Linked DNA regions of Oryctolagus cuniculus. The protein of the gene in region 1 purifies or fractionates together with the protein of each later gene. This does not show direct contact. Links are inferred from orthologs where the notes say so. Each region holds a gene or a part of one and is shown on either strand. Other genes may lie near its edges.

What was found.
Region 2: the proteins of TNS2 (region 1) and SNTB2 purify together in Homo sapiens (affinity purification with mass spectrometry; 4 studies listed by BioGRID and IntAct, with this or other methods). This does not show direct contact. The link is inferred for Oryctolagus cuniculus from reciprocal best matches to the Homo sapiens genes TNS2 and SNTB2.
Region 3: the proteins of TNS2 (region 1) and CSK purify together in Homo sapiens (affinity purification with mass spectrometry; 6 studies listed by BioGRID and IntAct, with this or other methods). This does not show direct contact. The link is inferred for Oryctolagus cuniculus from reciprocal best matches to the Homo sapiens genes TNS2 and CSK.
Region 4: the proteins of TNS2 (region 1) and DMD purify together in Homo sapiens (affinity purification with mass spectrometry; 3 studies listed by BioGRID and IntAct, with this or other methods). This does not show direct contact. The link is inferred for Oryctolagus cuniculus from reciprocal best matches to the Homo sapiens genes TNS2 and DMD.
Region 5: the proteins of TNS2 (region 1) and DTNB purify together in Homo sapiens (affinity purification with mass spectrometry; 3 studies listed by BioGRID and IntAct, with this or other methods). This does not show direct contact. The link is inferred for Oryctolagus cuniculus from reciprocal best matches to the Homo sapiens genes TNS2 and DTNB.

The regions. Positions count from the first base shown.
Region 1 is NC_091442.1:56,108,423-56,114,529, forward strand, and holds the start of TNS2 (tensin-2), read left to right. Parts: upstream 1-2,658; 5' UTR 2,659-2,985; coding exon 2,986-3,264; intron 3,265-5,483; exon of another isoform or gene 5,484-5,624; coding exon of another isoform or gene 5,625-5,699; intron 5,700-6,107. UniProt on the Homo sapiens protein: Tyrosine-protein phosphatase which regulates cell motility, proliferation and muscle-response to insulin. Phosphatase activity is mediated by binding to phosphatidylinositol-3,4,5-triphosphate (PtdIns(3,4,5)P3) via the SH2 domain.
Region 2 is NC_091449.1:52,276,923-52,283,198, forward strand, and holds the start of SNTB2 (beta-2-syntrophin), read left to right. Parts: upstream 1-2,552; 5' UTR 2,553-2,604; coding exon 2,605-3,175; intron 3,176-6,276. UniProt on the Homo sapiens protein: Adapter protein that binds to and probably organizes the subcellular localization of a variety of membrane proteins. May link various receptors to the actin cytoskeleton and the dystrophin glycoprotein complex.
Region 3 is NC_091443.1:108,910,319-108,916,587, reverse strand, and holds the start of CSK (tyrosine-protein kinase CSK), read left to right. Parts: upstream 1-2,299; 5' UTR 2,300-2,648; intron 2,649-6,269. UniProt on the Homo sapiens protein: Non-receptor tyrosine-protein kinase that plays an important role in the regulation of cell growth, differentiation, migration and immune response.
Region 4 is NC_091453.1:18,963,182-18,968,663, reverse strand, and holds part of DMD (dystrophin), read left to right. Parts: intron 1-3,590; coding exon 3,591-3,770; intron 3,771-4,074; coding exon 4,075-4,203; intron 4,204-5,482. UniProt on the Homo sapiens protein: Anchors the extracellular matrix to the cytoskeleton via F-actin. Ligand for dystroglycan.
Region 5 is NC_091433.1:177,084,488-177,090,433, forward strand, and holds the start of DTNB (dystrobrevin beta), read left to right. Parts: upstream 1-1,985; 5' UTR 1,986-2,273; intron 2,274-5,946.

The DNA.
Region 1 (6,107 bases):
TATGAAAATGATTTGTAATCTGTAGACTTAATACCTGGGAGATGTCTTGAGATGTAAAATCCCATCCTTTGGGTTGTGGGGTTTTTGTTTTCTCCAAATAAATCTGATCTTTAAAGTTCATTTTAATGGTGAGATTGATTTGACACACAGTGCTTCGCGCCTGCCTCCCCCACAGATGGGCGGGGTGGCCTTTCCCCCCTCCCCCTCCCCCCTCCCAAGTGCAAGATCCGAGGCTGGGGTTCCACTGCCTACAAGGTCTGGGAATTTGCATCCCAGCTCCCCCTGGTGTTAACTTGCATCGCTCATGGGGCTCAGAAGCCCTCTGTAATTTGCCCAGCACTGGGAGGAGAGGGCCCTGGGCCCTGAGGCCTTGCCTCCTGCCCGCAGCTCCTTGAGAGTGCTGATGGAGGACCTGGAGCCGTGGGGATTTTCCAAATGGCCAAAGACAAGCTGGGCATTGTTGGAAGGCAGGCAGGGGGTTAGGACAGTGGTGGATGAGCCCTAAGGTCATGCGGAGGTGGAGCACAAGGAAGCCCAGGGGACTTCAGTCTGCACTGTTGGGGACTGGGAGCTGTTAGCAAGGTCACGTTCTGGGTCAGCTGCAGCAGCTGCTTTCCCAGCTGAACTCTGGGTAGCTAGAGTTTCATCTGCCAAGATGACAGGAAAGCCTTCATGTGGGGGAGAGCTGCCCAGGCTGCCCGCAGCGGCCATAGGCTCCCCCTCTGTCCCCTCCAGGCCTTTGCCCAAAGCCACTCCTGCAGATGGGAAGTGGAGAAAGCTATGCTGAGAGAGGAACTCCCTGTGTAAGTATACTCTCAAGGAAAAGCTCAGCTCTGGCCCGGCCTCAGAGATGCGGGGCCCCTCCCAGGAGCCCGGCTGCAGGGATGGGGCCCGGACCCCCAGCCCTCTCTGCCAGCCACTTGGGTCTGCCTTGGGCTGCTTGGCCTGGGTGTCCTGGTCCACGCTGTCTATTCCCGGAACAGGGCTACGCTCGGGTCTCAGGCCCCTGAGGGTTCCAGCTGGAGCTGAGGGCGGCACCCCCCAGAGCTCCGCATCTGGTTTCTCAGGAAGTGGGGGGGCTGCACATCTGCTCCTGGGAAGCATTATTTGTCAGATCGTTTCTCAGCAACCGCCATAGCCCCCAGGGCCACCAGAGCCGCGGACTTGCCCTCCCTCCACCTCCCCCCAAAAAAGTTTGGAAGAGACCACTGCTCCCCGCCCAGCTGTAGCGACCTCTGGGACGGACAAAGCACCCTCTGTCCTCAGCCAGGAGAGCCGCCTTTCTCCCTGCTCTGCCTGGTTCCCAGCACCGGAGCCCTCCGGGTGGTCTTCCACCCCTGAGATCTGAGTGCACTGTTACGGCTATGGGGTCGCCCCAGACCACGGAGAAGGAGGAGGAGGTGCCCCCGTCAGCGGCAAGATGGGCCGCCCTCTGCCTGCTCAAGGTAAGCCGGCTTGCGTGGAGGGAGGTCCGCTCCGCCTCTCAGCCTCTGCCAGGCTTTCCCTTCCTCCTCCCCTCCCCTCGCTCTGCTGGGCTCCCCGAGGCTCTGGCTGCTTCTCAGGACGCCTGGCTGGCTCGGGCAGGCAGACCCCCGTGTGAGCACAGAGCTCAGCTGCCCATCCCCTGAGCCTCTCCCAAATCCTGGGACCCTCACAAGTTCCTCTTTGCCCTGCCACCACCGCCACCACCCCCCACCCACCGGCAGCAGCTGAATGGGAGGCTGTGGCCCCACCCCCCTCGGGAGCCAGGCCACTTCCTACCTTTAGGGAAGAGAGCCGGCCCCACTGCATGCAGCCCAGCACCTGGCCAGTGACCGCAAGGAGCTGCAGGCTCCAAAGAAATGACCAATCTCCTAGTTCAGGTGCCTCGCTGGAGGTCACAGAATGACCGCAGGCCCTTTCCTTGACTCAGCAGCCTCTGCGCTCCCGGAGCCTTCCCTAAGGCCAGCTTCTCTCAGGTCCTCCCCCACCCCCAGCCTCCACTCCGCCCTTCCAGACCCCCGTGGCACCCAGCACTGCCCTAACCTCTGCCAGGAGCAAGATGGAGGCTCCCCAGCCCCCAGCCGGCTCTGCCTGTCTCCTGGGGCCTCTTCCCGCTGCCAGAGTAGAAAGCAGTGCCCCGCCCCTCCTAATCAGAACCAGGCTCCCCGGCCTTGGCCAAAGACAGGATGAGCCCAGAGGGGCCCCAAGAGTCAGTAGTGGGCAGGCACTGGGCCTTCCGCCCTGGGCACCGGCTTCTCAGAATCCTCTCCCCGCCCCCCTGTTTTCATCATGGAAAATCTGGGGCGCGGGGGGGGGGGGGCGGTGAGGTGAGGGAGGGCCAGCGTGTGTCCGGGAGTGCTCACTGCTAAAGAACTGGGGCCTTGGAGTGACAACCGGCTCAGGGCTCTAGGACGGAGCCCCCTCCCCCCACCTTCCCCTCCAGTCCTCGGGGGTCCCTTAGCTCCCTTCCAGGAAGCTCCTAGCCCGTACTAGGTAGCATCCAGACACTGAAGACAGTGACGGACACGTGAAGCCCTTCGCAGCCATACCTGGGGGGTGGGATTGCCCCCAGAGAGCGGGGCAAGGGATGGGAGGGGCTTGAACCCCATGCGGACATCCTGGGCTGGGAGCCTCTTAGGGAGACTAGCTCACTCGGGGCAAGGTGTCCAGGGACTCGGGACACCAGCAGCATCAGGGGTCTTCAACGATGCTGGTGCCGACCCTCAGGGCCAGGCCCAATCCCACGCACTGCTGTGGCGTGGCGGGGCCGACAGGCTGTGAGCCCTCGCTTCCAGTGCCTGCTGGACCCACGTGCACCCTTCCTTCGGCATCTGCCTGCCTGCCCGGGTCGCGCCGCTGGACTCCCCGTCCCCGGGCTTCTCCCAACCCCTCTCCCCACCGCTCGGCTCCTCCTGTCCCCGACTCGCTCCCTGACCCGGCCTCTCCGCCGGGCCCTGCGTCCTCGCCTCTCAGCTCTTTGTGAGTGTGGGTTCGCGGGAGAAGATGGGGAGGAGAAGAGGGAGAGAGGAGGAGGACGAGGGGCGGGGAGCGGGCGGGACGTGGGGATTGGAGCCGGGGCGGGCGGGAGCGGGGGAGGAGAGAGCGGCCGCGGGCGCGGGGCGCGGCGGGAGCCGGAGGGAGCCCAGCCGAGCGCGGCGCGCCCGCCGCCGCCGCCTCCGCATCCCGCTCGGCGCGGACCCGGCCGCGATGGGCTGGCCCGGGGGCTCCCCCTGCTGCTGCCCCGCCCCGCCGCGCCCCCGCGCCGCCGGGCGCCCCCCGCAGGTGAGTGGCCGCGGCGCGCGGGGCGGGCGGCGGCGGCGTCTGCGTCACAGCCGTGCGGGCAGTGCCGAGGGCGGGCGCCAGGGGGCGAGGGGGTGCGGGGCGCGCGGCGGGCTGGGCCCCGCGCCCCGGACCGCGGAGGGGACGCTCGGAGGCCGTGAAGGTGACCAGGGGGCGGGGCAGGCCGCCGCGGGCCCTCGCCGCCACGCCTTCCCGCGTCCTGGCGCACACGCGGCCCGCACTCTGTGGCGCGCCCGCCGCACGAGGCGCCGTGGTCCCGGCACACACAGGCCCGCGAGCTGGGCGGGGGCGAGCAGCAGCCGCGCTCGGGCCGGCTTGGCTGCGCGTGTGTGCGCGCGCGTCCCCCCTTGCCTGCTCTGGGACACAGGCCGAGAGCGGGCCCAGGAGTGGCCCGCTCGTCGGCCAACGCGCGCCTCTGCCCTCACTCCACCAGATGCTCCGGGCACACCCGGCCACGCCGCCTGCTCCGGCGCTCCTTGCCTGGGCCTCACGCCTGCACCCGGGGCGGGCGGGCTCCCAGTCTCGCATCCAACCACAGCTATTTCCAGGAAGGGGGGTGTGGGTGGAGGGGTTTCTCCAAACAAACCCTGGGTTTGGGAGGGAGCTGGGGGCCCGGCCGGGGAGAGGCAGACAAGCTTCGGACTGTACCAGGCAGGAGGTGGGCGAGGGCCGGCCCCCCCACCTCCCCCCTCCCCGCAACAAGCTGTGGCTCCTAGGGACCTTGGCCCGGCTCCCCTGGGGGCCCTGCTCAGGGCAGATGCTGGCAGTGCCCCTGGTGGAGTGTCTTGCAGGGCCTGGGTGCAGAGACAGACCACTGGTATCAGAGGCCCTGTTCCAAGTGAGGGACTTGGGGGCCTGTGGAGGGGGCCGGGCCAGGGCCACAGGCCACAGGAGCAAAGGACAGGCAGAAATCCCACCCACTGTACCCCACCCCGCCCTGCTCAGGGCACCTTCTGCCCCTAACGGCTTGGATGCCAGACCAGGCCCAAGTGCCCACAGGGCCAGGACCTTGGAATGGCTTGTGGTACAGCCAGGGGGAGGGGCCCAGGCCTGGCCACACAGGTGCCACCTTCTGGCCAGGTACCTCCAGGGGGCCACGGTGGGCATGGGGGAATGGATAGTCTGTCCTGGAAGGTTAGAGCTCCCAGGTAGAGGCCCGGGCCGGACCCAGGCCCGGGCAGGTCCTCAGAAGTGTCCCGCAAAGTATCCAGAGCCTTCCATCTGGACGGGCATGAGGGAGGAGGAGGCCAGGCCAGGGCCCCCATGGGAGATGCCAGGGTGTGCAAATGCCGAGGAGGGGGCCCAGTCGCCCCTTCTTTCGGGTGACAGCTACCCACAAGTCCAAGGGGCTTGGGGCTTCATCCAGGGCTGAGGACCGCCCCCCACTCTGGGGGGGCATTAACCCCTTGTGTGCTAGGAAGATGACTCCCTCCACTCCGAGCCCGCATCACCACCTCCTCCTCTAGACTTCTGGGGCAGGAAGTTGGCCATGTTCCCAGCAGGGAGGCAGGAGGCCCTGGAGCAGGCTGGACTGTATTGGGAGGGGGCGCCCTGCCCAGTCCTCAGGATGCCCCGTGGGGATGGGGCAGGGTCCCTGGGCTGAAGGCCTGGCTTGCAGGGGCTTGGGAGTTGCGGTTGGGCTGGAGCGGGGAGACGGTGTGGATGGGGGGCTGGTGAGCAGCTGGCTCAGGTGGGCCTGGCCAATGTGGGGGGTGGGGGGGGTGGAGAGTGAGGGCAGCCGGCCCTTGCTTCTCTTTCTCACATCCTAACCAGCACAGCTGAGACCAGGAGGGAGCCGGGCGGCATCCACTCAGGATCCTCAGCCAGCAGGGTGCTGGCTCCCAGCTGCCCTCCCTCCCCACCGGAAGTCCCAGGAGAGTGCAGGCTGGGAGGCTGGCCAGGACACACTGTTCCCCACTGGCCCTTGAGCCCTGCCCAGAGACCTAAATTCCCACCCCGCCCTGCCCCAGCGGGGGGCCGATCCCTGAGGGCGGGCTCCCTTCCCAGATCAGGGTGCCTGGGCCGGGGGATCCCGGGGCCAGCTCCCCAGCCCTGAGCCCAAGCAGGGGAGCACCAGGTCCTGGGCTGACGCTCCCAGCGGGACAGATCCTGGGAATCTGATCTCCTGGCCTCCCCCACATCCTCCCCCCCCCCACTTCCTGGAGCTGCGACCTGCCCCCTTCCCGCCGGCACTTCCCTCCACTTCCAGGGCTGGGCTTCTCCTCACACCGCCACACAGCCTGCCCGCCGCCCAGGGGAAGCTGCGGAAGCCCCAGGCCAGGCCCCAGCATTGTTCAGGGCCCCCCAGGCCGGCCAGCCAGCACCCCAGCTAGTGGGACAGCATGAAGCCCAGCGGCCCTGTGGAGAGGCTGCTCAGAGCCCTCGGGAGGAGGGATAGCAGCCGGGCCACCAGCAGGGTAGGAGGGCCCGCGGGCTGGGCCGTGGGTGGGTGGAGGTGTGGGCGGAGGGGGAAGGGGCTGGGATTCGTGCCCCTCGAAGCTCTCTCCCTGATTTCTCAGCCCCCTGGCCCTGCCCCGCGTGCCCCTCCTCACACTGCCCTTTGCAGTGTCAGCTGCAGTAGACTGGATCCCGCTGTCCGCTTTGGCTCCTCTCTTCCCGCTCTCTGCTCTAGCCCTGGCCGGCCCGGGCCCCCAGACCTGAGCCCCAGGTATACTTCAGCGTAGGACCTCACGGGGCGCTGGCCCGGAGCTCTGGGGGCAGAGCTAAGTGGTCAGCCCAGGACTGGGCCCCAGGGAGGTGGCCAGGGACGGGGGAGCTACGGTAGTGGCAAAGGGAGGGAGGGAAGAGACGCCGGGGCTCAGGAG
Region 2 (6,276 bases), on another chromosome or scaffold:
AAGCCAGGAACTTCTTCCAGGTCTTCCGCATGGGAACAAGGGCCCAAACACTTGGGCCGTCTTCCGCTACTTTCCTAGATGCATTAGCAGGGAGCTAGCTGGCTAAGAAGTAGAGAAGCTGAGTTTCAAACCAACACTAATATGAGATACCAGCATTATTGGTGGTGACTTTACCTGCCATACTACAACACCAGGCCCTAGTTGGGGATTTTTTTTTTAATGGAAATAATCCAAATACCGATCTCCATTACCTTCTCCTAGGATTAAATATTTTGTTACATAACTTGCTTTCTTAAGTAAGTACTCTCACTTACTATTGGTTGGAAGATCTGTAACTTCCTTCAACTCTATTAACAAAAAGGTCTTAATACTCTAAAAATTTCCAGTACTTCCTTTTGCTAATAAAGGTGTCCTCAAATGTGCAACCTTTGGGTGATTACATATGCAGAGGTGTTAAAAATAACGCTCAAACTCCAAAGAATGCACTGCCAAATGCTCTCTAATAAGCAAAAATTTCCCATAACTCAGGTCTCCTGGGGCTCATGCCTCCGCTGGCGCACAGCCAGAAATGTCTGTGACTGCAGGTGCACTTGGGCACGCCGGGACCTCTAGAACAGTGAGCTGACTCCAGTGCCGCTGATTTAGGAGAGGGCTGGAAGGTTGAGCTTTTGCTGACATTTGCAACTTGGAAAAGCCTGCTCCACTAATTGCAGTGGAGATTCTGTCATCATGATTTCTTTGGTAAGGTACTTTTCTCATCTTTAATTCTTCATCTGGACTCTGGATGCTTCCGAGTCTCTATTTATACTGTTTAACTCCTGGTGCAGGAAGCTCTTTGTAAGCTTCTGCTTGCACATGCACGTGCACTTGCAGAATGATGCATGGCTATGGCCTACGAGCCTCAACGTGTACATCCTGAACAAGCAAGAAACCAATGCCCTTTACAGGGACGGCTGCACACTGCTGTTCTCACAGCCTGTTGCTGCCTAAATGAGAGTAGGGATTTTGCTTTTGCTGCTGAAGGAAAGTTAAAGAACATCTTGACCTCATAAATTTCCCGAGAGTTTCCGATTTCAGCAGTGTGTTTCTGGGCCCTCAGAGTCCAAAGTTTGCATTACAGTTCCTGAGGCTGCCCATCTGTACTTGCCCCAACACGAGACCATGGCCTCTAGGATAGGACAGTCCCCTCTACAAAGTCAGGTCCAAATTCCTGGATATTTGATATGAGGCTTTTCACATTCAAATCCAGACACACCCACTGAGCCTGTGCTCTCTTCACATTGGAATTCTGTCATCTTCCTGAGTACCCATGTGCGATGATTACGTTTATGTGTCAACTTGACTGAGCTAAGGGATGCCTGGATGGCTGGCGGAACATTATTTCTGGGTGTGTCTGTGTGGGTGTTTCTGGAACAGATTAGTGTGTGAGTGCTGAACTGAATAAAGATTCCCCTTAGCAATGTGGGCAGGTATCCTCCAATCAGGTGAGGGCCTGAACAGAACAGAGGGAGGGTGCATGCACACTGCCGGAGCTGGGGCTTGCTTAGTTCCTCACGGTTTCCTGCCCCTATTTCTTAGACCAACACTGAAACCACACCTCCAGGCCCCACCCCGTTCTGGGGGCCTGCCGTCTCAGCCTTACAGCATTGGTTTCCAGGTGCTCAGTGGTGGGATTGGAACCGCACCATCAACTTCCCTGGGGCTCTAGTTTGCAGTGGCAGATCCTGGTACTCGGGGTCGCCGTCTAGGGACAGTTCCTCAGGATGAATCTCTAGTGTGTCTGTATATCCTACTGAAGTGTTGCTCTGGAGAAGCCTGGCTGATACATTGTGCAAACATCTTTGAAGCCCGCCTGGTATGGCCCCAGGACTTAAGAAGACAGCGTCCCCCTCTAATTACAGGCAAGAAAACGGGTGATTACGAAGCAGGGTGACACCGTCTTGGAATCATGCCTCTAGACCATGCATATGCTGTTCCATCTGCTCCAGCTATCACCCTCCATTGTCAGCCTCTGTGATGCGGACCCCGGGACCAAACGGAGGCCCTTTTTAGTCTGCTCCGGGGGAGTTTTCTATACATCACTTAACCACATAGTATCACAGCTCGTTGGGTTGGCTCTGCATTTTCCTTCCCCACCAGACCGCAAGCTTCAGGTGTGGTATATTTGATTCAGCTTATGGCCAGCGCCACAGAAGGGGCCCGAGTGCACAGCTCACACGAACAGAGTAAACCAGAGCAAGAATGAACGTGCCACTTAGTCTGGCAGGCTTGCAAGGTGCTTCTCCAAGCTGCTTTTACTTTCTGTGCCTACGCAGCTCCCGTGCATTGCGCGGGAGAGGTCAGCAGTTTGGGGGCCTGTAGGGAACGCAATGGGAGGAGAGTGTGAGATGGAGCCTCCCCTACCCCCCACCGGGGGCTACCCACGTCCCAGGAGCTGTAAGGCGCAGGACAGCCTCTTAACCTCCCGGAAGCCGCTCCGCCGGCCTCGCCCCGCCCCGCCCGGGAGGTGGGCGTGTCCCTCATGAATAATGCATCGCCGCGGGGGAGGGGCCGGGCCCGCCCCCTCGGGCGGGAAGGGGGAAGCGCTGAGGCTGCCTGACTGGAATGAGGGTAGCTGCGGCGGCGGGAGCGGGGCCGGCCATGGCGGTGTGGACGCGGGCCACTAAAGCGGGGCTGGTGGAGCTGCTCCTGAGGGAGCGCTGGGTCCGAGTGGTGGCCGAGCTGAGCGGGGAGAGCCTGAGCCTGACCGGTGACGCCGCGGGAGCCGACCCCGAGCCCGCTCTGGGGCCGGCAGCGGCCGCCTTCAACGGCCTCCCGAACGGCGGCGGCGCCGGCGACTCGCTGCCTGGGAGCCCGAGCCGCGGCCTGGGGTCCCCGAGCCCGCCGGCGCCGCCGCGGAGCCCCGCGGGCGAGGCGGGCGCGTCGCCGCCCGTGCGCCGGGTGCGGGTGGTGAAGCAGGAGGCGGGCGGCCTGGGCATCAGCATCAAGGGCGGCCGCGAGAACCGGATGCCGATCCTCATCTCCAAGATCTTCCCGGGGCTGGCGGCCGACCAGAGCCGGGCTCTGCGGCTGGGCGACGCCATCCTGTCGGTGAACGGCACGGACCTGCGCCAGGCCACCCACGACCAGGCCGTGCAGGCGCTGAAGCGCGCGGGCAAGGAGGTGCTGCTGGAGGGTGAGCGGGGCCGGCTGTCCGGGCGGGCGGGCGGGCGGGGGCGGCCTGGGCCCGGCCGGGCTGCGCCGTCCGGCGCTCACTTTGTTTCTGCCCCCTTGGCAAGGTTGACCCAGCCCCTCCTCCTATCCCTCGGAGCCGGTGTCCTGGGACTCTTGAGTGTCGAAAAGCTGATGCTGCTTGCAGGAAAAGTTGGGCCGGCCGCCGCCGACGTGTGGCTTGCAGCCCCTGGGCAGGACTACTCGGCGGAGATGGAGCCGAAGGCGGCGGCGCTAAGCTGGCGCTAAGAGCTGCGGCGGGACCCGACGCGGCGACTCCGCAGCTCTGCGTGTGTGCCCGCTCAGAAGTGCCGGCCTGGCGCTTTCGGCTCTCACCTCCGGGCTCCCCTGGGCGGGCGGGTCTATTAAAGAAATAAAAATAAAACCCAGCTCCATCGATGCCAGCAGTTGTGCTTGGGCAAGCCACCAAAACGTTAGTTAATTTATGGGAATTTAACCCATCGTTGGCTCTCAACAATAACCGGCGGAGATCACAGAACTCCATTGAAGCCGGAGAGCTGAAGCAGCAAGTCTTGTGTGGTTAATGAGCCTTGTTTAACCGTGGAGGCTCACGTGTTTCAACACTCACTGCCAACCAGAGTTTTGCCCCTTTTGCAAGAGAGCGCTGCCAGCTTCCTAGCGCTCACAGGCGTGCTGTTCCGAGACTATTAGGCTTTGTCGAAGCGACTTGAAATGGCAAAGCACAAAACAGCGTTTAAACAGTCTTCGGTCTGTGTGTGATCTATAGGTTGGAGCTTTTGATGATGCGTTTATGGAGCTAGGGCAGAATGAATTCTCTCCGGCTTCATGGATGTTGGACTTGGTATTTTTACACGAAATTGTAAATGAGAAGTCAGTTGCTTCCCTCAAAAATTGAACTGTTGATTCAGTCCTTGAGAAGCGTGTGTTGTTGACTGCGTGGAAGAGAGGAAAAATGACGTTCCTGTCCCTGTTTGGTCTCTGGTTGGGGAAATAATAGAAAAATGCTGAACTTTGGGGGAGAAAAAAAATCAACTTTTTAATTTTGTGGTGCAAACTATATAGGAATGCCACAGGAATGCGAAGTCAGCAGATCATTAATGGAAGTGCGATTGGTCAGGGAGGACCCTTTCAAGTGTCTGAGTTTTGCGCTGGGTCTCTGAGGAAGTGATGGACGTGTACTGGCAGAGATTAGTCAGGAGGATATATTTGGCAGTGTAAGAGAGCGGGGGAAGGCTGGGATGAGGGGGACCAGTCGACAAATCGAGTCTTAACTTTGGCAAAATGACTTTTGCTTTTTTACAGATCTGCTTGCAAAGATTTGGAAAAAATATTAAGTTTGCAAGTAAATGATTTAAAATGTGCTCTAGTTGTGAAATTCCAGTGTCCCACCTTTTTAATGCCCTATTTATAAATTTTATTTATATCTCATTTGGAGGTGGGGCTAGACACAGTTTGGAAATTCGAATTAATAAAAGGAGCAGAATGGTCGGTTGTGTGTAAAAAAATCATCCTAAATATGTATCTTAAAATGAGCCTAGCTAAGCATTTGGTTATAAATTCTTAGAACCACAATATTGAATTTAGTGCTATTTATGTAGTACTCACTGGAACTAGGCAAACAGTTCAACCTCTTACTCTGTATTGCAAAAACCAAAACAATGGTTTTTATTTAGATGTAGTTTGAACTTGAAATTCATACTAGTAAAATGAAAACCACTTAGTAAATTCTTCTCAGTATTCATTAGTCTAAACTAGGCTACATGTGGTTTTAGCAAGAGTGTTTATAGATTGCAGTATAATTAATATACTTATTAAATGCCTTTTCACCTAATATGTAGACTATTTTATTTTCCCATTTTGTATAAGACAAGCAGTTTCTGATGGAACAGAGACATAGCCCACCTAAGACATAAAAAGGCCCAGCCCCTAGGGTCTGGGCCCTCTGCCACGTGTTCAGTCTGTGTGTGCACTGGCAGTTGGTTGCCCACCTCTGCAGATTTGTTTTCTCTGAATAAATTCGGCCTGGCTGTGAGTTTGTATTCTGTCTCTTCTCTGTTTTTCTTACATTTGGGTGCCCTGTGTGAGGAGGCACCAATCTGCCCTCTTTTTCTTATAATTTCTGTCTCTAGGTATGGGGAAGTCAGTATGGTGGGTTTATGCTGAATTCTTAAACCAAGGCGTATAAAAATAGAATTACTCAAAATATGCAAAATCACACACAAACACAAACCATGGTTTGAGTGAATCAGTCAAACATTGTTTAAGTCTCAGAGCCGCTGTCCCATCCACGTGGGCTATTTTTAAGAGACAGATTTTATTCTTAGTCCTTCAAGTTTTTAAGCTCCACTCTCCTTCTGTTAGCTGCCTTAGAAGTCAGTGATGCCCTTTTGGGGTGTGGCAGGGCATTTCAGGCATGCTCTTGCCACCCCCATGCCAAGGACAGCTATGTAGTCTCTGTTTGCCTGGGGTGAGGGAACAGAGCTCAAGGGTTCTATTTTATCTCAGGGATTTGTAAGGATTGCTCACTCTTTCACTCTTTCATGTTTATTCAGCTTTCCTCACGGGCTAGAGACATTGCAGATACCGGATTCTTGCCCTCAGGAAGTTCAGAGTTGAAGGGGAGGGGTAAGAGGGAGAGAAGGCAGGGGCAGGTTGGTGGTGAGAGAATGCAGACAAATAAAGAACTGTTACAGTGAAGTCTGGAGAGGACACAGCATAAAGGAGGGGGAGGTGTATATGGGTTCTCGATGGGAGTAGCTCCTAGTGGGAGGTTGTGGGTGCCTGGAAGTTGAAGCTGAGCCTTCTCCTAAGAAGGGAGCAGTGGGTCCAGTAAAGACACAGAAGTGCAAGACACCGAGACGGTGCTGTATCCAGCAGGGGTCGAATAGGAGCCAGGGCTTTGTGGTCAGAAGCAGGTTTCTGGCCAGTGGTTTGTAACCCCTAGGCAAGTTACTTAATCTTGCTCAAGCTCAGCTTCCTCGAAATACCAGGATGGTGTTAATACCTCCCTCAAAGCGTTGTTACTCACTTGACAATGTATGTATCCAACAGCAGCAAGGAAAGTCTGGGTGAGGCAAGCAGCAC
Region 3 (6,269 bases), on another chromosome or scaffold:
CAGCTCCCCTCTGCCCCCCACCCCACCACGCAGGGGACACGTGGGCCAGCCTGGGCAGGCCGACGTCTCCACCTTGCACAGGTGTCTCCAACACTGTCCTAGGACGAGGTGTTGCGTGTCACCCCAGCCTGGCCCTGTCTTCCCGGCAGCTCCAGCCCCAAGCGGCCAGCCCTGCACCTGCAGCCTCCCCGGCCAGAGAGGCACTGTGTGGACAGCAGTGTCGAGAGCCACCTCCCCCACTCTTCAGCTCAGGCCCTTCCCGGGGTGTGGCCCACCCTGCCTGCTCGCAGCATCCCCAGAGCAGTGTCCACCGAGTGAGTGACCGGGAGAGGCTGGGAGGCACTGACTGGGCTGTTGTAAACAGCACAGCACGGGGCAGGTGGGGGGCGGAGGAGACTTTGCTGACGGTACCCCCAGGGGCTGCGCGTGAGGAAGGCTACAACATTGGGGGTGAGGAAGGCTACAACATGTATTTCACTCTGCAGAGAAGAGGTGGAGCCAGGATTCCAACACAGGTTTGTTTGGCTCCAAAGTTCAAACCCCGGCCCCAGCGCAGTGGAAATGTCAAGTGCGTTTGGGGTCCAAGGCACCCAGGCTGGTGACCACACTGGAAGGGGAATTCCTTCTCTCCACGTCCCCCCAGGGGCTGCTTTCCCATTCCACCAGCTGACCCAGCCCCCGGGGGAGGGACGTGTCAATCACTTCCTTCCAGAAGCCTCTGCAGAGCGACAGCCTCCCCCAGGCCCAGAGGCACCCCCCCTCCATCCGCCAGCCCGGTTATCGGTCCATCTCGCCTTCAGAGGAGAGAGAAAGCAGCTAAGCCAGCGCCAGCCCCTCCACCCCCGCCAGCCCCTCCACCCGCTCTTATCTTGCTGAATCTGCACCACCTCTACTCTCGGGAGGGAGGTGCACACCTCATCTTACAAAAGAGGAAACTGGGCCCAGAGACCTTAAGTAACTAGCCCAAGGTCGCACAGCCCCAGGAGGCTGAACTCTGAGAGCTGAACCCAAATCCACACTCTTTCAACATCACCCCGCACCCATCTCTGGGTGCCTCCTCCCAGGGGTCAGAGGGCCAACCTGCCACTCCTCGGGGGGGGGGAGCAGGGGCACGGTGGTCTCCAACTCCCAGCATCATAGGTGCTCCCTCTCCCTCCTCTGGGCCCCCAAAGTCTCCATGGCCCCCTCGTGCCTTTGGTCCCTCGGGACTTTGCCAATGGGTCTGGTCCACCAGGGAGAACGCCCATCCTCCTGTCTCCCTACATCAGACCCTGGCTCCAGGGCCAGTTCCCAGAAGGTGCCCGTAAACTCCAGGTCCGCCTGCCCACGACTGAGCCCACTGCCAGCTCCTGCAGCTCCGGGCTGGCCCCCTCCCCGCCCCTCCTCCACGGCGGTGAATGATAACAGCCCGTACTTAACCGAGGGCCCACCACGTGCGCCGGCGGCTGCACGCAAAACAATTTAGACATATTAACTCATTTCCTCTCCACAAACCCCAGAGACGCACAAGCTGTTATTTCCCTCGTTTTATCAAATGCAGAGACAGACAGGTTCAGACACCGGCCCAGGGTCACTCAGCTACTGACCACTTACTCCCTCACTGTCACCTACAGGCTGAGCGTGAAGTCCAAGAGGGTCCCGGGGAGGCTGTCCGGACTCTCCCAGCCCTGTGGCTGCAGGAGCCCAGCTCCCACCGCTGCACCTGGCGCACCACCTCCACCCTTCCATCACCTCCCGCTTGGCGAGCGCCTCTGGGCCCGCCAGTCTGCCGCCCACCCTCCGAGAACCCCCGGACGGCGACCGAGCGGTCCTCCTAGGAGCCCCCCTGGCAGGGCCCGAGGAGCCTGCGCGCACCAAGGAGCGCCCCCTGCGCGAGGCGAGGGCGCGCTCTCCGTACACGGACCCGGGGCCGGCGCGCGGGCCGGGGGTGCGGCTGGGACGGACCCTCGCACGGCCAGCCCCGCGAGGCCCGGCGCGGACACACCCCCCGCGGTGTCCCCGGCGCCCGACAGGGGGCGCCGCCCGCGCCCCGCCGCGCCGGGCAGGCCCTCGCGCAGGCGCGCTGCGGCGGGCGGAGATCCGGGCCGCGCTTCCTCTCGCCGGGGCCTGCGAGCTTCCTCCCGCGGAGCACGGGCGAGCCGAGGGTGGCCGCCGCCGCCGCCGCGCCCCCCGCGCCCCCCGCCCGCCCGCCGCAGCGCGCGCGCCGCCGCCCCGGGGTCCTGCCGGGCGGGGTCCGAGCGCGCGCGCGCGCGCGCCGCCGTCGGGGCGTCCGCGGCCGCCGTCCCGCCCGCCCAGCCCTCGCCCGGCCGCCGAGCCCGCGGGGCGTGCAGCTCGCGGCCCCCGGCCCCGATCGAGCGTGCGGGGCGGGCCCCCCGGCCGCCGGCGCGACGTCCGCCCGGCGAGCCTCGGGGCGGCGCGGGGAAGCGGAACTCCGCCGGGCCGCGCGGGCCACATTGTTTGCGCCCCCTTCCGCCGCCGCCTTTCTTCGCGCCCGGCCCGGGCCGCGCGGCCGCCCCCTGCCTCCGCCGGGCCGTGCCGCCGCTCTTTGTGCCGCTCCCCCGGGGACCCCCGCCCCGCCCCTGCCCGCCGGCCGCGCGGAGCGTCCCGCAGGCCGCTGATGCCGCCCGGACCGCAGTGCCCCGCCAGAGGTGAGTGCCCGGCTGCCTGCGGCGGGGGGCGCGCGCGGGGGTGGCCCGTCCCGCTCCCGTGGCCGCCGCCGCCGCCGCGTCCACTCCCCACCCCCCACCGCCTGGGGCGCCCCATCGTTGTCGGGTTCGAATTCTCCCGGGAGCCACTGTCAGAAGCCGGCCGGGAGGGAGGGAGGGAGGGACCGCCTGCAGCCCCACAGGGCTTGTCGGGCCCCCAGCTCCGGTTGGTGGAGCTCTGGGTGGGTAGGGGGTCGGAGCCCCCCCCCCCCCGGGAGGGGAAGAGCATCGGTGTGGGCCGGAGCCTCTGCAGGTGCCCTGGCCTGCTTGCTCCTGACCCCTGCCTTGGTCCGGGCCGGAAGCCCCAGTGGACCCCTGAGTTCTGCCGGAGACCCAGGTCCAGGGCCTGAACCTGTCACTCTCAGAGATCTCTGACCCTTGGGTGGGGACATGGGCAGGGCTTGGGTCTTGGGTGGAGGTGACACCAGGCCATAGCCGTGCCTCCACCTCCTGCCACCTGGCTCGGCCCATTCTCCCAGGTTCCTCAGGGCCGGGGCCAGGTGTCAGGAAGGGGTGTGTCCAGCCACCAGAGCCTGGGAGCTTAACTGGGGCTCCCTTGTCGGCCTGCGGGGACCTGAGGCTCAGCAGGGCAGAGAGGGGGACAGCTGCCCCTGGCCTCTGGTGGAACGATGAGGCGGGCAGTGCTTGCCCCCAGCTCAGAGGCCGGGGCTGCTGCTGGTGGGGGGAAGCCCTGGGTGCACCCTCGCCCACTAAGGACGCAGGCCCAGCCCCAGGGGGCCTTGTGGGGTGAGCACGTGCTCCCCTGAGGAGGGCGAGAGGGGGCTTCCGGCCCAGCCCTGAGATTTCCCCCTGGTGCTTGGGGCTGGGTGCCCCCTGCAGGGGATGAGTTCTGAGGGGTGGGGGGGTCAGCCCCCACCCGGGCCTCCCCACGCCTCCAGCGGCTCTGTCTGTGCAGGAGCCTGGGAGCCCCCTCCCCGTTGGCAGCGCCTTGGCATGGGAACTCTGGGGGAGCGGGAACACCTGAGGGGCCCGGGCCCTGGGGTCCCAGCAGAAACCCGGCAGAGGAGGGAGGGTGTGGGGGGCCGCCCTTGCTTTAGGGTTCTGCCAGTTGCTGGGACACACACAGAGGAGACCCGGCCAGGTCCTGGAGCCAGAGCCTGCCCGGAGAGGCCTGGGGGGTTTTGAGGGGCAGGCCAGGGCCCCCGCCTGTGTGGAGAGGACGGCTTCGGGATGTGGTTTCTGTTCGGTGACCTCGGGGCCGCCCTGGCTCTCAGAAGTGGCCGCTCTTCCCTCTGCGTTGCACCAGGAGCCTCCTGCCTCCGCCGAGGCCGAGCCACGCGTGGTGCCCCGAGCCCGAGAGGGAGAGGGGCCAGGTTCAGTGCCCCCGCCCCGGAGTGGAGCCGGCAGAGCCTGGGGCGGGTGGCGGGTGCAGCTCTGTGCCATGCCTCTTGAGGACTTTCGGAACCCTGACACGTGTCCCCAAAGGGCAGAGGCGTTGAGTCTGGGGAAGAGGCCACAGAGCGGTGTCCCCACGGGTCTATGCCGTGGCAGAAGTGGCCCGGGCGCCTGGGCCCGAGTGGGGGTCAGATGGGGTCCGCGGAGGCGGTTCTGGGGTCACTGTACAAAAGTTACGGGTGTGCTAGTTTTCCCAACTTAGAAAGCAACAACCAGCACCAAAGCCAAGCAGAAAAACTTAGAAAACAGCAGAAATCCCCCAAGCTTTCCTGGGGGGCCGCAGGCCTCGTCCGCCGGCCACTGCTGATGCTGCGTTTGAGCGTTTTCCCAGGGGGCCTCGCGCTCCGGGAGACTTTGCCTCAGAAAGCTGCAGAGGGCCGCGGGCACCTCGGGCCAGGCCTGTGCGGTGCCGCCCCTCTGTCCCTGGGGTCATCCCTGTGTGTCCCAAGAGCAGCCAAGAGAGGAGCTGGCCGACGCGGGTGCCAGGCCCGGCCACGCCACGTCGGCCAGAGTGGATGGACGATGGACAGGTCCCTGACCCCCGGAGCCAGGGTCCTTTATGTAATGGGGATGCTGGCACAGCCCGTTTGCTCTCCTCACCCCTCACGGGGAGGGGGTGCAGGGAGGGCCCCAGTCATGGGCAGAGGTGGGGGGGTCCCTACCCAGAGAGCCCCCTCCAGCCGGAGGGTCTTGGCTACTTTGGCCAGTGCCCTGCCCAGCTCGCCTGCCTTCCCCTCCCCGTCACCCTGCGATTGGCTGGCCCAGGCCCGGGGCTGGCCCTGGGGAGACGGCCGCTGGTTGGTGTCCGGCCTGACCCCACCCATCAGCCTTCCGGCCTCGCAGCATCCGAGCTGAGTGCCCAGTGGCCTCCTGCCTCCTGGCTTGGGCGAGGCCAGCGCAGCCCTCCCTTGGACACAGACGCCTCCTGAGCCTGAGGCTCAGACAAGGATCCGGGCACCTCCACGGCCCCACCCTGCCAGCCTGGTCTTCCCAGCCTGTCCCAAGGCCGAGGGGCCGACTGTGGGGGCGGCCGCCTCCTCCTCCTCCTCCTCCTCCACAGGTGTGCCTCACCTGAGTGTGCGGGTGAGGGAGGTGGCGGCCAGCCTCTGCCTGGCCTTCCCTGGGCCCAAGACCCCATAGCCGCACGGGAGCTAACCCAGGCAGGGTCCCACGGGCAGGTGCGTGCGGGACCTGCACCCTGGCTGCCAGGCTTTGGCTTCCGGCTTGGTGCAAGGGAAGCGGGCATCGCTGCCGCCCTCCGGCCTCACGGCTCAGGCTGCGGTGAGGTCACAGGGTGGGGTCCACCCCAAGACGCTGGCCTGGCTGCCGCGAGCCCTCTGGGTATTTCTCAGTTCCCTCTGCCCTCATCGGGGACAGGATGGGTGGAGGAGAGGGCCGCCCCCCACGCCCAGCAGGGAGCACTCCCTCCTCCCTCCTCCCTCCCCTCTCGGTCCCTTCATCCAAGGGCTGGAAATAGAATCCGCTAACTAATGATTAAAGTCAAATTCAGACCTAAAAATAAAGAGCTGGGGAAGGAGAAGCGGTGTGCTCCCTGCGTGGCTGGGGTGAGGCCGCCCGGCCTGAGGCTCAGGGGGGTGCCACCATTTGGGGGTGTGCCTCGATTGGGCACCAGGCGGCTTGCACCGCCCGCTGGGCGTAGCCTGCACCCGTCCATCAGGCGGATTGGCAGAGAGGCGCCCACTTCCCCCTCCCAGGGAAACTGAGGCCCAGGGTTTGTCCAGCACAGCACAGCCTGCCCTTGGGCCACCTCGGTTTCTCTTCCTGGTTTTGAGGTGCAGTGAGGACAGCTCTGCACCCCCTCCGACCGCAGCTTCCCGCCGCCGCCCTCCCCTTCCGGGTCTGTGAGCGAGCAGAAGAGAGGCCGCCGCGCCCCCATGCTCCTGCGCTCTGCTGGCCCTGCGGTCGGTTGCTGGGGTGGAAACCTGGGTGTGCTGTGACCCACCACGCTGCCTGCCTGGCAGCCCGGGATCTGCCCGGCCGCGGGCGCCTGTGCCTGTCCATGCTGCAGGAACACAGGAGGTTGGGACCAGCTCCCCCGCTGGCCAGTGGTGTCACTTGGCGGGGCGGGGGCTTGTGGTTCCAGCTTCCTGGCAGGGCTGGTGGGAGCTCAGAAGCTGGGGAGCCACG
Region 4 (5,482 bases), on another chromosome or scaffold:
AACATATGAAGATAGAGACTTTGATAGTGATTTATATTTAAACTGAAAAATACTCACATCAGACGTTTTTCCTATGTCAGCAAAACCTTAGAGCTAATGACTCAAGTGTAGTTCTTATTCGGCTATTCTTAAGTCTCTTGAAAGTGGACTTATGATCATGTCATACATCAAAATAATACTGGAACCTGAAAAGACACTAGAAATTAGTTGCTGCTTCCTTTTTTCCATTAAACGCATGAAATATCATTGGACATTAAATGTTTTCTCTTATGAAGAGGTTTTTCAAATGGGGATACAGAACACGGGAGTGGCCATTCTAAGAAAATGCCACTGGATAGCTATGCACTCCCACCTTTATTTAGAGGGTACAAGCAAGTCTATGAGCCAGCAGGCACTTAGGCAAGGTTATACATCAACTTAAGGATCTGGGAAAAGGAATTCAGTCTGGTGGTCTAATAAAGGGATTAGAGCTGTGATGTAAATCTTCAGAGACAGGCCCATTTAGATGCTCCTGTAAATGTACAAATTCCCGGCCAGTGCCACTGCTCACTAGGCTAATCTGCCTGAGGCACCTGCACTCCAGGTTCTAGTCCTGGTCAGGGCATCGGATTCTGTCCCGGTTGCTCCTCTTCCAGTCCAGCTCTCTGCTGTGGCCCGGGAGTTCAGTGGAAGATGGCCCAAGTGCTGGGGCCCTGCACCCACATGGGAGACCAGGAGAAGCACCTGGCTCCTGGCTTCAGATCAGCGCAGTGCGCCAGCCACAGCAGCCATTGGGGGATGAACCAACGGAAAAGGAAAACCTTTTTCTCTGTCTCTCTCTCACTGTCCACTCTGCCTGTCAAACAGTTTTTTTTTTTTTTAAATTCCCAAAAATATTCCAGGTACCAATTTATGTCCATTAGCCCCCTGCTGCTCCCATTATCACATTGCTTTGGGGCAGGTGTACCCATCCCTGGCCTGTTTTGGTGTGAGCAGAAATTGCAGCAATGCCTCGAATTTCAGGTGGTGTACCCCACCAGAGGCATTTATGCAGTATCTCTACACCCTTGAAAATTCAGTGGAGGATTTTGGTAGATAATTGACATAAAATAATTTTCTATGATCCAGGAATTTTTTGAAACATTTCCTAAATTCAAAACTTCCCCTGATCCTTTCTGAAGTTTGGAATTTTCCATTAGCTTTAACTGCATTGCCTGGCATGTAAAAAAAAAAAAAAAGTAAAGATTTTGGTACATAACTTTTTATTTTTTTAACAGGCAGAGTGGACAGTGAGAGAGAGGGATGAAGAGAAAGGTCTTCCTTTGCCGTTGGTTCACCCTCCAATGGCCGCCGTGGCCGGCGTGCTGCGGCCGGCGCACCGCGCTGATCCGAAGGCAGGAGCCAGGTGCTTCTCCTGGTCTCCCATGGGGTGCAGGGCCCATCCTCCACTGCACTCTCTGGGCCACAGCAGAGAGCTGGCCTGGAAGAGGGGCAACCAGGACAGAATCCAGCGCCCCAACCGGGACTAGAACCCGGTGTGCCGGCGCCGCAAGGCGGAGGATTAGCCTAGTGAGCGCAGTGCCAGCCATAATAACTTTTTATATTCTTGCAGAAAAGGATTAATGGTCTGATCCATTTAAATGTTTATTCATTTTTATTTATTTTAAAGAGAATGATTGATTGATTGATTCTGTCCATTGGCTCATTCACCAAATGCCTGCAGCAACCACTGCTGGGCCGGGCCAAAGCCAGGAACCAGAACTTCTGTCTGGCTCTTCCATGTGGGTGGTAGGAACTCAGTACTTGAGCCAGCATCTTGTGCCTCCCAGCCACATTAGCTTGAATGTGGACTGGAATATGGACACAAGACTTGATCACTGGCACTCCAACATGGAATGTGGAAGTCCCAAGAGACATCTTAACCTGCTGTGCCACAATATTGCATGCACAGTATAATAGTTAGAGACATGTTCAAAGATAATTAGGGACCTCAAAGTAAATTAAATTTTTACTTAATAAGGTGTTACCTTTGTGAACAAATCAACTGAAATTATAAGCCACTAGCCTGAAATATAAGAAATAGACAATGTTCATTTGTACTTATTTTTATTTCTTTGACTAGCCCATATAAGCTTTCAAAGGACAGGACATTTCTCTGCTGCTCTACCATTTTATCCACATTGTCTCGAACAAAGATCAAATTTTGTATAATAAAAGTAGTATAGGGAACAGATGAAGGATTTAAAGTGCTGAAATTTATTGCAAGTCCATTCACAAGTCAACTTCCAAAGAGGCTGTTTCTACCCAAAGGAGACATTTCTTATCATTTTCCAAAAACACATTGCATGGAAATAAATACCCTGCTACAAGAGTTTCTGCCATCTAGTAGAAGCTTAATAAACATTTATGCTTGCTGTATGAACAGTTTTAATGAACTGCTAAGCTCACTCATGTGCAACAAATGACACCGATGTTACAAATAACTCTAGGTATAGTAGCTAACCTGTAACCGAAATTCAACTTTTTCTTGTTTATAAATGTTGAAAGCAAACTCTAATAATAGCAGTAGCTGTGACTTGGTCACCGATAGAAATGACAGATATTTCATATCATGTTCCAGTCACTGAGTATACTTGGTATACAGAAGCAACGAGTGTATTCCTCGCTACTTTGAAATTATCCTATTTAGTGACCTGATGCTAGATCCTGTTAGTTAATATGCTGGGAAACAAAACATGTATTACTACATCACAAAAATTTTTAGAAACACATATATTATATTTTGACTTAATTGGTCTTATTTCAACCCATGTATATTTTCTTTTATGCTTTTGTAGGCATTAAGATAAGAAGGGGTCATTAAGCTTAATCAGATACCAGAGATCCATGATACAAAAAGGCTAAAATTTGATGTAGATAGACAGTGGTGCCATACTTTCTAAGTTTTTTAAAAAGCAATAGAATGGCCGGCACCGCGGCTCACTAGGCTAAGCCTCCACCTAGCGGTGCCGGCACACCGGGTTCTAGTCCCAGTTGGGGCGCCGGATTCTGTCCTGGTTGCCCCTCTTCCAGGCCAGCTCTCTGCTGTGGCCAGGGAGTGCAGTGGAGGATGGCCCAAGTGCTTGGGCCCTGCACCCACAAGGGAGACCAGGAGAAGCACCTGGCTCCTGGCTTCGGATCAGCGTGATGTGCCGGCCGCGGTGGCCATTGGAGGGTGAGCCAACGGCAAAAAGGAAGACCTTTCTCTCCATCTCTCTCTCTCACTGTCCACTCTGCCTGTCAAAAAAAAAAAAAAAAAAGCAATGGAATGTCAACCTTTAACCACGACATGTACAAGATAAATATATTTAGTTGGGCAATACATTTGTTTAGCAATTAAATATGTGCACTCAAAGATAAATAATTAAATTAACCACATTTGTGTATACATATATGCTCAACAATGAAACTGCATTTCATATTCTTTGATTTTTATGGTTTATAAACACATTGTTGTAGGTTTAAACCTTTGTAAAATCTAACCAGAGTGACCATACACACTGCCATTTCACAACCATTTTATCTTAAGGCTACAAAATATAACTTTAATCTCAATGCTGTTCTTTTCACAGGCTACTCAGAAAGAAGTAGAGAAACAGAAGGCTCACTTGAAGAGTGTCATAGAGCTAGGAGAAGCCTTGAAAACAGTTTTGGGCAAGAAGGAGACCTTGGTGGAAGATAAACTCAGTCTTCTGAATAGTAACTGGGTAGCTGTCACTTCCCGAGCAGAAGAATGGCTCAACCTTCTCTTGGTAAGAGGAGACACTGGAAGATTTTTGATCCCTCTCCATCAAAAAAAAATGTGTAAACATTCACTGAGATCCTATATGAAAATTCGTCAAATCCACATATACCCTGCTCTAAATTCATTGTCCATAACTAATTTTAATATGTTTTTCTCTATGTGTTATATTTTACGTGAATGTTCTACTTAAAAGTAATTTAAATTATGATACATATGTATTTTTGTCTTTTTAGTCTTGTAGAGAGTAGAAAACAGTCCTTTAAGAATGTTTTCTAACCAATAATGTCATTACACGTCTCTGTACATTTAAGGAATACCAGAAACACATGGAAACCTTTGACCAGAATGTAGATCACATCACAAAATGGATCATTCAGGCTGATACACTTTTGGATGAATCTGAGAAAAAGAAACCCCAGCAAAAAGAAGACGTGCTTAAGGTAGCAAATACAATATTTTGAAAAGTAATTTTCAAACTGTGCAACACCTGTGTCAATCATCTATGTCCTAGAAGATAACGAGGACTTTTTAATAAGAGTAATCTCTCTTCTCTCCCCTCACCCTCTCTTCTGTTCTTCCTTTTTTATGTGAATAATGACCCTCAGTAGTTCTGTAATCTGATTATCTGTTCAAATTCACCTCTCAGTTAATTATACCCAATTTAAAAGCTCCTCAAAATGGGATTCTAGGATTTATTTTTGTATCATATCACAAAGATCTGCCTATTTTAATAGTACCACTATGATCTGTGTCTAGTCCAAAGAACTTTCCCAACATCACACCTGCAGCCTATCTGAGAAATACCAAAAGTACAATCATGTGGATATTTTGCATATGAAATATCCAAATCTTATTACACGTTGAGAATCCATAATCCCAAATTCTGAAATCAGAACTGGTTCAAAATCCAAAATATTTTAATCTCTGACGTGATGCCACAAGTGGAGAATTTCGCACCATGAAGCTTTGTTTCATGCACAAAATTATTAAAATATTATATAAGATCATTATACTTTATATATAAAACATATAACATAAATGAATCTCATGTTTAGATTTGGGTCCCATCCTCAACATATGTCAGTATGCTAATGGTCCACAATCTAAAGATAACAAAAGTCCAAAGCCTCTCCCACACCAAGCATCCTTAATGTATAATTATTCATAATGTTGGGCTTGTGTAACATTTAATTTTTTTCTTTTCAACTGTGTGCAAATTAAACTTGGACTTAAATTCTCTCTTTTTGCATTGAATGTAATTAGGATATCTTAAGATTTCTCTCTCAAAGGCAAGTTAATTTTTCCTCTTAAAATAATTTCAGTAGCAGAATATGAGAGATATAATGTACAAGTGTGTCTTATTGATACTACATTGTCTCCATTTGGTGACTTCTCTCTTTTCAACTAGACCCAGAGAGAAGAATTTTAAGAAATCTCTCTTAATGTTTCCTTACTGGGTTTTGCTGAAATTTTTGTTAAGTTTTTACCAGTGGGTTATTATTTGAAGAACACACAAAAAGTATAGTTTCTAAATATAAATTTCATTTTTTATTTTTGTCACTGACATTGTGCACATATTTTAATTTATTTTCATTAAAAATGTAGGTGCATATAAGGCTGTTCCCAAAACACATTAATTTGCTGTTTGCACCTTACTCCAATGTAGATTTACATAGTGGTCTTAATTCTCCCTTGATGTGTAGTCAGAGATGTCATCTT
Region 5 (5,946 bases), on another chromosome or scaffold:
GCTACTGGGTGTTCTGGTAGCTGTGGGCATGGAGAAGGCTGCATCCTACATTGGAGTGCTTGGCTGTGAGCCCTGCCTGTACTTTTATTTTTTTAAAGATTTATTTATTTATTTGAAAGTCAGAGTTACACAGAGAGAGGAGAGGCAGTGAGAGAGAGAGAGAGAGAGAGAGAGAGGTCTTCCATCTGCTGGTTCACTCCCCAGTTGGCCGCAACGGCCGTAGCTTCACCAATCTGAAGCCAGGAGCCAGGAGCTTCTTCCAGGTCTCTGACGCGGGTGCAGGGGCCCAAGGACTTGGGCCATCCTCTGCTGCCTTCCCATGCACATTAGCGGGGAGCTGGATCAGAAGTGGTTCAGCCAGGACTGAACCTGTGCCCATATGGGATGCTGGCGCTGCAGGCAGCAGCTTAACCCACGGAAGCTACAGTGCGGGCCCCTGCTCTACTCAGGAGTCCAGCTTCCCGCTGATGTGCACCCTGGGAGGCAGCAGGTGAGGGCTCAAGCACTTGGGTCCTTGCCTCCTGTACTGGAGACTTGGATTGCATTTCTGCCTCCTGGCTTTGGCCTGGCCCTGCTCTTGCTGTTGAGAGCATCTGGGGAATGAATCAGCAGATGGGCTCTCTTTCTCTAATACTTTTGAAAGAAAGGCATGTGGCATTTGGGGTCAAAGAAGCCATTTGTGACTGGGAGCAGTGCAGCGACACGGTGGGGTGTGGGTCAGGGGAGCGAGAACCTGCTGAGGAAGTCGAGATGAGTACAGATGACTTTTAAGATATTTGTGGGGAAAAAATGGAGAGGGAGTAGTAACACAGCAGAATCTAGTAGGACAGAAGGTTTCACTGCTTTTTCTCTTAAACCATCTGCTTTTAAAAAACATTTTGATTTATTTTAAATTTCTTTTTAATTTGAAAGGCAGCGATGGAGGGCACCTTCTGTTTCCTGGTTCACTCCCCAAATCCTGTAACAGCCAGGCCAGCCCCAACCCAGGAACGCCCTCTCCTGATTCCCACTTGAGTGGCGCGGACCCACGGACTCGGGCCCTGGTACTGCTGCCCAGGGTGCACGTCAGGGGGGAGGTGTAGGAGAGGGAGCTAAGACTTGGAGCAGGCACTCCCATCCACCGGCCAGCCCAGAGGGACCTTCAGGCTAGCTCACTTACTGAATTACCTTGGTTTCAGTGAATGAGCAAACACACCAAGCTGCATTTACATATTTATTTTTCGTGATTTACACATTTTTTTTTCTCCAAAGGAGGGAGCCAATGTTTCACCCTTTCAACGCCTACCACACTGTGAGTGCTCAGTAAAAACGAACAAACGGGCTGGTGTGATGGCACCGCGGGTACAGCCTCAGCCTGAGTCCCGGCTGCTCCACTTCCCATCCAGCTCTCTGCTGTGGCTTGGGAAAGCAGTGGAGGATGACCCAAGTCCTTGGGCCCCTGCACAAGCGTGGGAGACCTGGAAGAAGCTCCTGGCTCCTGCCTGGCCCAGCCCCAGCCCCTTGCGACCATCTGGGGAGTGAACCAGCGGGTGGAAGACTCTCTCTTGCTCTCTGCAACTTTCAAATAAATGCATCTTAAAAAAAAGAAAAAACTCCCACAGTTCTTTATGAACCCGGCGTTTGCGCTCGCGTCCCTTAGTTGCGGGTGGCCGGTCCCTTCGCGGCTGCAGAGGGAGGGGCGGGCGCCAGGCGAGCTCAGGGCGGCAGCGGAGACCCTCACACCACACGCCCTCTCCCGCCCCCTGCTCCACAGAGCTGCGACGCCTAGGATGCCCGTGCGCAGCAGCCAGCTCCGAGCCGCGGCCCCCAACCAGCCCCGCTCCAGTGCTCGCGCGCGCTCGCCGCTCGGTTCCGGACGGGGCGGGGCGGGGGCGGGAACTCGCCCCGCCCCCGCCCGCCCGCGCGGCGGAAGCCCCGCCTCCGCCCGCGCGCTCCCCGGCGGCGCGCGCCCGCCCCTGCGCCTCGCGCCCTCGCCCTCGCCCTCGCCCTCGCCCTCGCGCCGGGGGCGGGCTCGCTGCGCGTGCCGGGCAGGAGGCGGCGCGGGCCGGCGCGGAGGACGTCCGCCGCGGGGGCGGCTCCGGGGCCTGAACAGCAGCCGCCGCCGCCGCCGCTGCCGCAGTCTCAGGCGAGGGGGGCCGGGCAGGAGACGCGGAGGAGGCTGCGGCCGCGCGGGCCCTCGCCGACGCCCCCAGCTTCGAGCCAGGTGGGGAGCCCGCGGCGGCTGCGGCGGCCCGGCCGGGGAGGGGCGCTGAGGCGGGTGCCGGGCGAGGCAGGTGAGGCGGGCAGGCCCGGGCGGAGGGAGGCTTCCTCGCCGCTTCCCGCACGCCCTGCTCCCTGAGGCGCCTCGGCGAGAACCTGCCGGCCCGGGCCTGCGCGGGGGCTGCGGGCGCGACACAAAGCGGCGGGCGCCCCGCGCCCCGGGTCCGGACTGGTCGGAGCCGCGCGCGCGGCGGCTTGCGGAGTGCGGCGGGAAGGGCCGGGCGGCGCGCGGCGGGGCTGCGGGGGCATCCCGAGGGTCCCGCGTCGAGGGCAGGAGCGGGTCCGGCAGACTTGGGAAGAGAAAGGAAGTTCCCCTGCTTCCCGACGCGAGCGCAGACCCGCGGCCGCCCCCGACTCTGTCCGCCGAGGCAGCCCCGGGCGCTGGGTCGGGCCGGGGGCCGGGGGCAGGGGGCGTCCCCCGAGCGCTCGGTGTGGGCCCGGGCGCGTCCCCGGCGGCGGCGCGGGCTGGCGCGTGCTGGGGACTCGCCCTGGTCCTGGGACCTCGGCTGGGGGGTGGGGGTCCCTGCGGTCCCGCCCTCGGCCGCGGTTTGGACCCGTCACCTCCAGCCTGGTCTTTGGGCTCCCGGGTTGCAGAGCGGAGTTGCCCGGGAGGGGGTCGTGCCGGCGGGGGCTCGGCTCTTGGTGTCTGCTGTGCCGCGCACAGGATTTCTGCTCACGGTGGGAAATGAGACTTCGAACCAATAGAATTTCAACTTGCCTTTTAATTTGCGTCTTTGCTTGTTTCCTTATATAAAAAATAGGGTGGTCAGCCTTGCAGAGGGCTCCCTCTTTTTCCTGGAGGGCCTTTGAACTTAAGGGGCAGCCGGCAGGTGTCGGCGAGTTCTTGTTTTGGGGCGCCTCATTTCTGCAATTCTGGGCACCTTCTTCCAGACTTTCCTGACTGTATCTTATCTTATGGATGCATTTATTTTAAAATTAACTTTGCCGATGTACAGTTTGCATATATATGATAAAAGGCGCATTCTTCGTGTACACTTGGATATTTGGAAAACCATAGGCACTTTGTAGCCGCTGTCCCGGGCAAGGTATGGAAATTTCCAGCTCCCCGGAGAGTTGCCTCCTGCGGCTCTGCAGCCCCTCCCTCCCCCTTTTCCCTTACTTCTGATTACACAAGCGCGGAGCCTCGGCGTCTGCTTGTGCCAGCTGCGTGCTGCCAGGCTTCGGGCTGCGGTTCCCGTGCAGGCAGCCCCCGCAGTGTGTGCCGCGCGTGGGGTGCTGTGGCTGGGACGCACACCTGCACAGGCGGAATAGGAGGCCCCCGGCGAGTCCTTTCTCCACAGAGCCCACTGTCTGGTGTGGTTCTTCCAGATCTTTCTCTGCGTTTTCACGCACACACGGGCACTACAGAGAACATGCGCTCTCTCCCCTGCCCTAATGACATCCTGGTGCTCCCGTCGTTTTGCGACTTGTTTTCCACTGAGAGCATGTTTTTGAGACTTTCCCATGGTGGAGTGTTAGGGGTCTTCTGAGTGTCTCCATGGCCTCGTGTCTTCCCGCTTGCCTTCGGGTCTTGCACAGAAGTGCAATTTATTAATCGTTTTTGCGTCAGTGACCGTTGTGGCTGTGAATGAAAGAGAAATGCTGGGTCGCAGGGGTCCACATTTCAGATGGCAGTGGATGGAGGTTTACCAGGCTGCTGCTCCGGACTGTGGCCCGTTGATTTCTCGCTGCTCTGTGTAGTGTGAAGTCAGTCTGTGCCCTTCTTTCACCAGGAACACTTAGGCTGCTTTGGATTGGAACCTTTGGCCGATGCATCCTGCTTGGCTTTCCCTTTCCAGGCGTTTTAAGTTTTAATGTGATATTCATGGAGGATTTCCTTTAAATGGCTTGTCTTTTGAGTGTGTGGGTCTAGTTTAAGAAACCTTTCTCTGCCTCAGAGTATGAATTGTGTATTCCTGTATTTTCTTCTAAGAGTTTTAAAAAGTTTCGCTTTTCAAATGGAATCTATTTCTATGTGGGGTATAATGTTGAAACATAATTTGCTTTCCAGTTTGGCTAACCAGCTTTTCTGTACCTTTTCCTTTTTTTTTTTTTTTTAATTCAAAGATTTATTTCTTTGTTTGAGAGGCAGAATTATAGAGAGGCAGAGGCAGAGAGAGAGGTCTTCCATCTGCTGGTTCACTCCTCTGGTGGCAGCAACGGCCGGAACTGTGCCGATCTGAAGGTAGGAGCTAGGAGCTTCTTCTGAGTCTCCCACACAGGTGCAGGGGCCCAAGGACTTGGGCCATCTTGTACTGCTTTCCCAGGCCACAGCAGAGAGCTGGATCAGAAGTGGAGCAGCTGGGACTCAAACCAGAGCCCATATGGGATGCCAGCACTGCAGGTGGCAGCTTTACCTGCCACACCATAGTGCTAGCCCCTCCATTTTTTATGACAAAAAAATCTACATAAACCTCACCATTTCTTTTTCTTTTTCTTTTTTTTTTTTGACAGGCAGAATGGACAGAGAGAGAGACAGAGAGAAAGGTCTTCCTTTGCCGTTGGTTCACCCTCCAATTGCCGCCGCAGCCGGCGCGCTACGGCCGGCGCACCGCGCTGATCCGATGACAGGAGCCAGGTGCTTATCCTGGTCTCCCATGGGGTGCAGGGCCCAAGCACCTGGGCCATCCTCCACTGCACTCCCTGGCCACAGCAGAGAGCTGGCCTGGAAGAGGGGCAACCGGGACAGAATCCGGCGCCCCAACCGGGACTAGAACCCGGTGTGCCGGCGCCGCTAGGTGGAGGATTAGCCTAGTGAGCCGCGGCGCCGGCGAAACCTCACCATTTCAACTTTCTTTTTTTTCCAAGTGATTTACTCGTTTCAAAGGCAGGATGACAGAGGAGGGACAGACAGAGGGAGGTCTTCCATCCTCTGGTTCACTCCCCAAATGGCTGGTCTGGCCCACCCTGGAGCCAGGAGCTAGGAACTCCAGCCTGGTCCCCCATGTTGGTGTCAGGGTCTCAGGCACTTGGGCTGTCTTCTGCTGCCTTCCCAGGCATATTAGCAGGGAGCGGGATTGAAAGCAGGGCGACTGGAACCCAGCTGGTGCTTCATTATAGGCTGCCAGCACAATGAAGTGGTGCAGCAATTAACCCACTGCACCACGGTGCCACCGCACCCTTACCTGGTTTATGTGTGCAGTTCTGCGGCATCAGCTACATTCAGCTGTTGTGCAGTCAGCAGCATCATCAGTCTCCAGAACTTGTTTATCTTATTGAAACTCTGTACCCATTAAACAAGAGTTCCCCGTTCCCCTCTTTCCATGGCCTCTGCTAGCCACCGTTCTACTTTCTGTCTCTAGGAATCTATTCTGTGTACCTCAATATAAGTGGAATCATATGATATTTGTCGCTTTGTGTTTGGTTTATTTCACTTACTTTGTACCTATTGTAGCATATGTCACCATTTCATTTTTCAGGGCTGAGTAGTATTCCGTTGCATGTGTGCACCACATTTTGCTTAATCATTCACCCATTGATGGGCATTTGGGTTGTTTGCACCCTCTGGCTATTGTGAATAATGCTGCTTTGAAACTTGGTATATAGCTGTTTAAGTCTCTTTCTTTTTAAAAGATTCATTTTATTTATTTGGAAGGAGCTACAGAGAAAGAGGGAGAGAGAAAGAGAGAGATGTGTCCTCCATCTGCTGGTTCACTCCCATATGGCTAAAATGGCCAGGGCAGAGCC